Cricetulus griseus: one gene and its partner. The protein of the gene in region 1 interacts with the protein of each later gene in a biochemical or structural test. Links are inferred from orthologs where the notes say so. Each region holds a gene or a part of one and is shown in the gene's direction. Other genes may lie near its edges.

What was found. The genes of interacting proteins can lie anywhere in the genome.
Region 2: of the proteins of Mib2 (region 1) and Cyld, one has a biochemical effect on the other in vitro, tested with the Homo sapiens proteins (2 studies listed by BioGRID, with this or other methods). The link is inferred for Cricetulus griseus from reciprocal best matches to the Homo sapiens genes MIB2 and CYLD.

The regions. Positions count from the first base shown.
Region 1 is NC_048595.1:604,017-608,131, forward strand, and holds the start of Mib2 (E3 ubiquitin-protein ligase MIB2), read left to right. Parts: upstream 1-1,315; 5' UTR 1,316-1,517; exon of another isoform or gene 1,518-1,726; intron 1,727-1,839; 5' UTR 1,840-1,960; intron 1,961-3,291; 5' UTR 3,292-3,447; intron 3,448-4,115. UniProt on the Homo sapiens protein: E3 ubiquitin-protein ligase that mediates ubiquitination of Delta receptors, which act as ligands of Notch proteins.
Region 2 is NC_048596.1:164,355,799-164,359,298, forward strand, and holds part of Cyld (ubiquitin carboxyl-terminal hydrolase CYLD), read left to right. Parts: intron 1-828; coding exon 829-1,208; intron 1,209-2,053; coding exon 2,054-2,219; intron 2,220-2,993; coding exon 2,994-3,135; intron 3,136-3,500. UniProt on the Homo sapiens protein: Deubiquitinase that specifically cleaves 'Lys-63'- and linear 'Met-1'-linked polyubiquitin chains and is involved in NF-kappa-B activation and TNF-alpha-induced necroptosis.

The DNA.
Region 1 (4,115 bases):
GTAGAGGCAGGTGAATCTTTGTGAGTTCCAGGCTAGCCTGGATGACACACAAAGTTCAGGTCAGCCAGAGCTATTTAGTAAGACCCAATCTCAAAAACCAACTAGCTTCCCAACCCACCACCCACTCAAACAAACTATAAAGCCGATGACATGAGATAAACCAAGCCCCGAACTAGGAGGGTGACTCTTGGCCAGAAACCCCAGCACTTGAAATTGAAAGGCTTAGAGATGAGTGTTCAAGGTCAACCTGGGCAACAGTAAGTCTCAAAATAAAGGAGGCCAGTGAAATGGCTTACCAGGAGCATCTGACCCCACAAAAATTAAAAAAAAAAAAAAGAAAAAAAGCAAGACTGTGCAGGAATGGACTGGGGCCATGTGTGGTAGTGCAGAGCAGGGCATAAACCTGGTCAGTAAGCTGTGTGAAGGGACAGGACAAGTACGGAGGTAACTTGCCCATGGGTGCAAGGCGTGGGAAGAGAGTCGTTGGAGAACCAAGTTATGGCCTGAAGACTCCACAGAACTGTCTAAGATACGTAAACAGTATACGGTTTATACTGTTTATAACACAAAGGCCTGGATGGTTGCTTTTTATCTGTAGGTCCGAGGAACTAAAATCAGTAGAGGGTGGAGGTGGGGTGCTCAGTTGATCCGAGTTGACCTCTTCGCCCCAGATCCGCAGGAAAACAAACAAATTACATCAAATTAAGTCGTGCCGGGTGTGGCGGTGCATGGCTTTAATTTCAGCACGCAGGAGGCAGAGGCAGGTGAGACTCTTGAGTATGAGATCAGCCTGGTCAAGCAGTGCTACACAGTGAGACCTTGCCTCAAAACAAAACAAAACGAAACAAACCACCAAAAAATTAATCCAAAAGTTAGTTTAAATGCGTCTTCGTCATGTCTCTGGAAGCCCCGCCCATCCGAGACAAGACGTCACTCTAAACCTCTGTCTCCAAGGCAACGGAAAGCGTCCTGGGAACGTGTGCTGCGCAGGAGACCCGTGCCACTGGGGCTCCGCCCAGACGTACTTCCGGGAGCGACTTTGCACGCCCAGCCTTCTCAGTACCCCCTCTTTCCGACCCTTTCTCTCCCCAAATGCGTCCCTATTTGCCGGGACTCGGGCATTTCCAGCTTCTTCTTTAGACAAGCCGAGGTCCCGCCAGCCATAGACACCGCGCCTGTCAGTCCGTTTGCAGCCTGACCAAACGCATACGCAACGCGAATGGTCTCCGGGGACCTGTGCTCCCGCCTCCCAGCCCCAAGCACTTTGCGTCAAGCGCAGGGCCTCCTGGGAGCTGTCTGCCCCGCCCCCAGGCCAAGCGCCGCAAACTACAGCTCCCGACAGTCTGTGCGGCGGCCGGGGACTGTAGTCGGGGGCCGCGGTGGGGCAGCCGGGTGGGCTGGAGCGGGAGAGGCGGCCTTGACAGGCGCCGTTGAGGGACGGAGGACATCGAGGTGCAGCTGGCGACTCGGTGTCGACCCGAGGATCCGCTGTCAGCATCTGCGCTGCTCAGGGTCCGGTATTCTAGGGCCGAACGGGCGCGGAAACTCCGGGCAAGTGGGGGGCCGGGTCGGGCGTCCTCCCAGCGCCGGGGGCATTGGCACGGGGCCGAGAGGCCCAGATCAGCTTGACCCGGCTGTGACTTGCGCAGCCGTCCACGGCCCTTGCGTGCAGAAGGCTTAAGGTTCTTCGCCCGTGGACACAGCTCGTGCCCGGTGCGCGTTCTCGGTGCGTGGTGGTGATGCAGCGGGTCCCAGCCGCCAGACCCCTGGGAGCCTTTTAAAGCGAGCGGCGGTCTCAGTCCTTTCTCAGGTGTTAACTGTGCGCACCCCTGACCACAGGGTTGGATCAACGGGGGCTCTCACGGAAGGTCAGGCCGGCGGAAGCCAGTCCCAATTCTCCCAGCATCAGGGTTTCTGCCGGATTCTCAAGGCGGGTGGGGGACTCTGAACCTCCCGACAGGTGAGCTCTTGGCGGCTGTGGCCTGACAGTTTGGGTTTGGTTCGTTCCCCTTGTGGATGCCATTCGATGTTATGTCAAGGGTTTGTGTTTGTGTCTAAATGTGCTTGACTGGATCGGGCAGTGAGAAATCGTCCTTCCTGCCTCCTCCGGGTTCAGAACCAATGAGGAAAGCAGAGGTGCCAGGAAGGCTCCTGATGAGGCAGCAGGCTTGGGGACAGAGCAAGGTTGGCCGTTTAGAGAAGGCCAACGTTCTTCTCTGGCCTGTTGCTTCTGATGCAACAAGTATCTGAATGTCATTCCCCCACCCAAGGTCAGCTCTAAGCAGCGTGGTGAACCCCAAGCTGCAGTGTACCTGGATCCCTCCAGCTAGGTGACCAAGATTAGCAGTCATGGTACCCCTGAACCTTAATGGATGTTCCTCAGCAGATGTCTGGATGCAGGGCGGAACTGATTTCCTGGCCTCTGTTTCTTAGGTTGACATTCTTTGTTTGATTCTACTGGCAGCTAGAATGTTCACCTGCCTAGTAGGAGCCTCTGATGCACCAGGGTTTTTTGTTTGTTTGTTTGTTTGTTTGTTTGTTTGTTTTTCTGGAGACAGGGTTTCTTTTCGAAACAGTCCTGGCTATCCTGGAACTCACACTGTAGACCAGGCTGGCCTCAAACTCAGACACCCCTGCCTCTGCTTCCCAAGTGCTGGGATTAAAGGCAAGTGCCACAATGGTCCAACTTGATTCGCCAGTTTTTGCAACACATTTTCAATTCAGCAGTGTCTCAGGCACAACCATAGGTGGTCTATATCATCTGAATAAACGCAATTTATTAACTTTCACAATAAACATGATTTAATTTTTCCCAATCAAATATTCACTTAATAAGGGACAGCATCCTACACAGACCTGATACTTCTGACTTATGGGAGATGTTCCATTCTTTCTCGGCGAGGTGTTCCATACATGCCTTTTTATTTAAAGATTTTATTTATTTATTATGTGTACAACATTCTGCTTCCATATATCATAACAGATGGTTGTGAGCTACCATGTGCTTGCTGGGAATTGAACTCAGGACCTCTGGAAGAGCAGCCACTGCTCTTAACCTCTGAGCCATCTCTCCAGGCTCCATACATCCTTTTAATCCCAACACTTGAAAAGTAATTCCAGGCCAGCCTGGACTACATAATGAGTTCCAGGCCAGCCAGGGATACATTTTTTTAAAAAAGTTTGTTTCTTAAAGAAAGGAACACTAGTAGCGGCAGCAGTCCCAATTATCACTGTCTGGTCATGGTAGTAAATATTGTATGTAAAACTGTCTCTAAAATGATCTTTCCACAGCCTGGTTCCCTGTCTACCTGCTTGGTTTGCTGTGCTCTATATTGGCAATGGCTGCTGGTTTTCCACAGGAAGTTTTGGCAGCTGGGAAAATTTGTGGCCCAGGAAGTAGCAACTAAATGCTTGGGATGCTGACTAGAGGCTTCTGTGTGTTCTAAGGTGAGTTCTGCTTCTGCTGTAGCATATTTGCCAAGCTAGTCCTCATACTCTGACATCCTCCACTATAACTGTAAATATCTATAGCAACAGGCTCCAGGGGTGTTTTGGATACTTACCATCAACGTGGTTCTGTCTGATGGCAGAGCCCAGTATTTCTGACAAAGGCAAAATTTCCTACTATGATGGTAGCACCCATAACACATTGTGGTTTTCAGCATCCTGAAGAATGATGTATATCACAGTTTGGTGATTTATTTTTTAATTTTGGTTTTTAAAGATAGGGTTTCTCTGTGTAGCTGGGCTCCAACTCACAGAGATCTGCCTGCCTCTGCCTTCCAAGTGCTGGGACTAAAGACATGCGCCACCACCGACCTGCTGAGTTTGGTGATATTTAATATGGATTTGAAAGTAAAGTTGTTTGTACACCTGGATTTTTTTGAGATAGGATTCTCTGTAGCTTTGGAGCCTATCCTAGAACTTGCTCTGTAGACCAGACTGGCCTTGAACTCACAGAGATCCACCTGCCTCTGCCTCCCAAGCACTGGTAATTAAAGGTGGGCAGCACCACTGCCCAGCTGTACATCTGGACTTCAGTGGTTATTAGACTGTCCTGGGCTATATTAGGCTAAGTCTTAGGATAGTGTTTTCAGACCCTAGGTCCTCTCCAC
Region 2 (3,500 bases), on another chromosome or scaffold:
TTCTGCCTTTCTGATATATCAAGCTGTATGTGAGTTAATTAATATCTAGCTTTTTTTCTAAAATAAGCTGTCAGTAATTTTCTTTTAAAAACATTACTTATTCCACAGATGTTCTTTATTCTTTGGTTTCTTTTCTCTTGATTTCTAAAACTTTTTTTCTTTCTATTTAGAATTGTTAGTTAATTTTTTTGTATCTGTTCATACTAATTTCTAACTTAGTCATATTATGGGCAAAGACTATAACCTATGTGACATTGACCAGACATAGATGAGCAATTGGGTGCCGGATTACTGATGTGGAAAAATGTTATGGGATTTCCCACCCAGTTCTGCAGCAGCCTCAGAGCCCTAAATAAACATTTGGACGCTGTATTAGTTATGAATACTGTTGGCCAGTGACAAGGGCTTCTTATTGGCTAATTCTGTCTTAATTATTAACCCAAAACTACTAATGTATGTATATCTACATGGTCTTCTCTTACTGGAAAACAAGTCCGGACCTGTTACTCCTGTGACTCACTCTGCCTACATTTCCCAGAATCCTCCTCATCTCCTAGTCCTACCTGTCTTGCTTCCCTATTGACCAACAGTGCTTTATTCATCAACCAATAAGACAAACATATACAGAAGACATCCCCATCAGAAAAACTTGGAGATAAAGAGAGAAACAAGAGCATTATTCAGAGCCAGTGAGTTTACAGTACTTGTGAGCAGACTTGCAAAAGGATCATGTGGTCAGTTAGAAGAGAACTTTGTACTGTTTTTAGAGAGGCAGGCATATTTAATGTTCATGAACAACCTTTTCTAATTAAGGACAATTTTTCATAGTTGCAGAAGACCCTGCAAAGTCACTTACAGAGCTGTCTCCAGACTTTGGACATTCATCATCACCACCACAACCTCCTTCCATGAACTCCTTATCCAGCGAGAACAGATTTCACTCTTTACCCTTCAGCCTGACAAAGATGCCCAATACCAATGGCAGCATTGCTCATAGTCCACTGTCATTGTCAGTGCAGTCTGTGATGGGGGAGCTGAACAGCACACCTGTCCAGGAGAGTCCACCCTTGCCCATCTCTTCTGGTAATGCACACGGTCTAGAGGTGGGCTCACTGGCTGAAGTGAAAGAGAACCCCCCATTCTATGGGGTTATCCGTTGGATTGGCCAGCCACCAGGGCTCAGTGACGTGCTAGCTGGACTGGAACTGGTAATTTGTTTTGGTCTAAAGTCTACATCTTTTCTGCATGGGATTTTTGTCTAGGTTCTCCCCTATTAGATAATTTCTTGGGAAATTGTTTTATTTGTCAAAAAAAAAAAAAAAGCCAGTAGTTTCTTATAGTATTGCCTAGCTTCACCCTTTGCCGTTCCTCAAGCTTCTGGTTCACTTATTCCTCATGTTTGTTTCTCTAAGATCAAGGAATAGATTGATATTTTTTAGGCTAGAATATTTAGCCTCCACATATAAACAGAATGCAGCAAAGAAAGCAATTCTGTTACCAGCTTTTCTTCTTATTCATTAGCCTCTTCCCATTGCAGTCAGTGTAGGGACGTTATTGACTTTATTAATCATCATGTTTGGAGGTCTTTGGGAGAGGGGAAGGTTTTATCTTTGGATATTAGAAAAGCATATAGTATGATATTTCATAACCAGAAGGGAGAACTTGAATAAACTTAGGTATTACCTAACTATGTATGGTTTTTAATTTTTTTCACTTGTTTTCTTGCTGTCGAGGAACTAGGTAATTTATCTACTCCTGCCGCTTGGTTTTAATACTTTTGGAATGAATGGCTCAGGGAAAGCCAGTAAACCTGGACAATTCTGAGCGTATATTTTGAAAGACAATGTATCAAGTACTTCCTGGTGGGCTGAAGAGTTGTTTTTTTAAGCTACTAGCTAGGGGCCAAAGCAACAGTTAGTCAGTCCCTGTTCGTTGGTACTGTTGTAGTCAGTACAGATTTGAATTCAGAAAAAGTGAAAATTCCATAGTTCTTCCCTGCTTTTTTTTTTTTGCGAGGTGCTGTGTAACATATACCAAAGCCTTTCTTTTTCAGGAAGATGAATGTGCAGGCTGTACGGACGGAACTTTCAGGGGCACTCGCTACTTCACCTGCGCCCTGAAGAAGGCGCTGTTCGTAAAACTGAAGAGCTGCAGACCCGACTCTAGGTTTGCGTCCTTGCAGCCTGTTTCTAATCAGATTGAAAGGTGTAATTCTTTAGGTACTTGGATACTTTTAATTTATTACCCATCCGGAATGACTGTTTCATGCTGCCTTTCAGTAACTGAGGGTGATAGGGTTTAAATGATTTAGTTTCCAATGTTCATCAAGTTTCTGAGTTAGTAAAGATTGTTACTTGGTGCATAAGGAAACTGTCCTAAGAGAAGATACATTGAAAAAGAGTCAGGAAAAGTGTTTAGGATCTAAAGAGTGAAAAGTAGTGTTTTTTTCTCTCTATTGATTATAAACATTTAATTTTTGTCATGGGTGGTAGAAATGAAAATGTGGCCCTTTTAGCATTAACTTCCCCCTCACCATCTTATTTAAGTAAGTCACTCAGGGTATCCTATGAAGAAGTCTGATACAGTCTGGAGATGCAGTCAGCTTGGCAGATGGAGGACAGTTTTTCTCATCACTTGTCACCAGCTTGTTCTGAACAATAGTGAGAGTCAAGCAGGGGAAAGTAGGGAAACCATCTTTATGAAAAACATTTTTTAATGTTATGTTTGAAAATGAAACATTTTGGACAAGTAACAAAATATTTATTTGATAGGTGCTTAATTGACTTAATTTTCTAAATTCTATATGAAGGGAGTGGTGTTAAAAGTGAATAATAACATTTTTTAAATAAGCCCAGATAAATAACAGTTAATTAAAGTAAAAAAAAATTGTAGGAGGATGCCAAAATATACTTTAAATGATATACATATGCACATGTGTATGAATATATGCTATTATGGTTTCAAAGAGTTATTTTCATTTTTTATCTTTTCAGCATTTGGAGGCTACTTAAGTGAAGTAGTAGAAGAAAATACTCCACCAAAAATGGAAAAGGAAGGTTTAGAGATTATGATTGGAAAGAAGAAAGGTATCCAGGGCCATTACAATTCTTGTTATTTAGACTCAACTTTATTCTGGTGAGTTCCTACTTTCTGTAGTGGGTAAAGATAGTGCTGTGGGAGGGAGGGGAGACAGGTAGATGTGTGTGTATGTGAAAGGAGGTGTCAAATGCCTTTGAGTAGAGAAACTGATGGCGTTAAGAAAGACCATGAGATTTGGTCCTTTGTAGCTAAAGAATTTCATGTACTATTCTTAGATCCAAAACAGTAACATAAAAATATTGCAATGAATAATGAGTAGAAGCAGTGATCCCTGTGAACAGATACCCTGAAGACATCTGTCTCCAATGTAGTATGATTGCACATGTGCTAACTAACCTGCAGTAAGCTATTGGCATTGTATGCTGTGTGTGTGTTTTAGTATACTGAAAATTCTTTATATT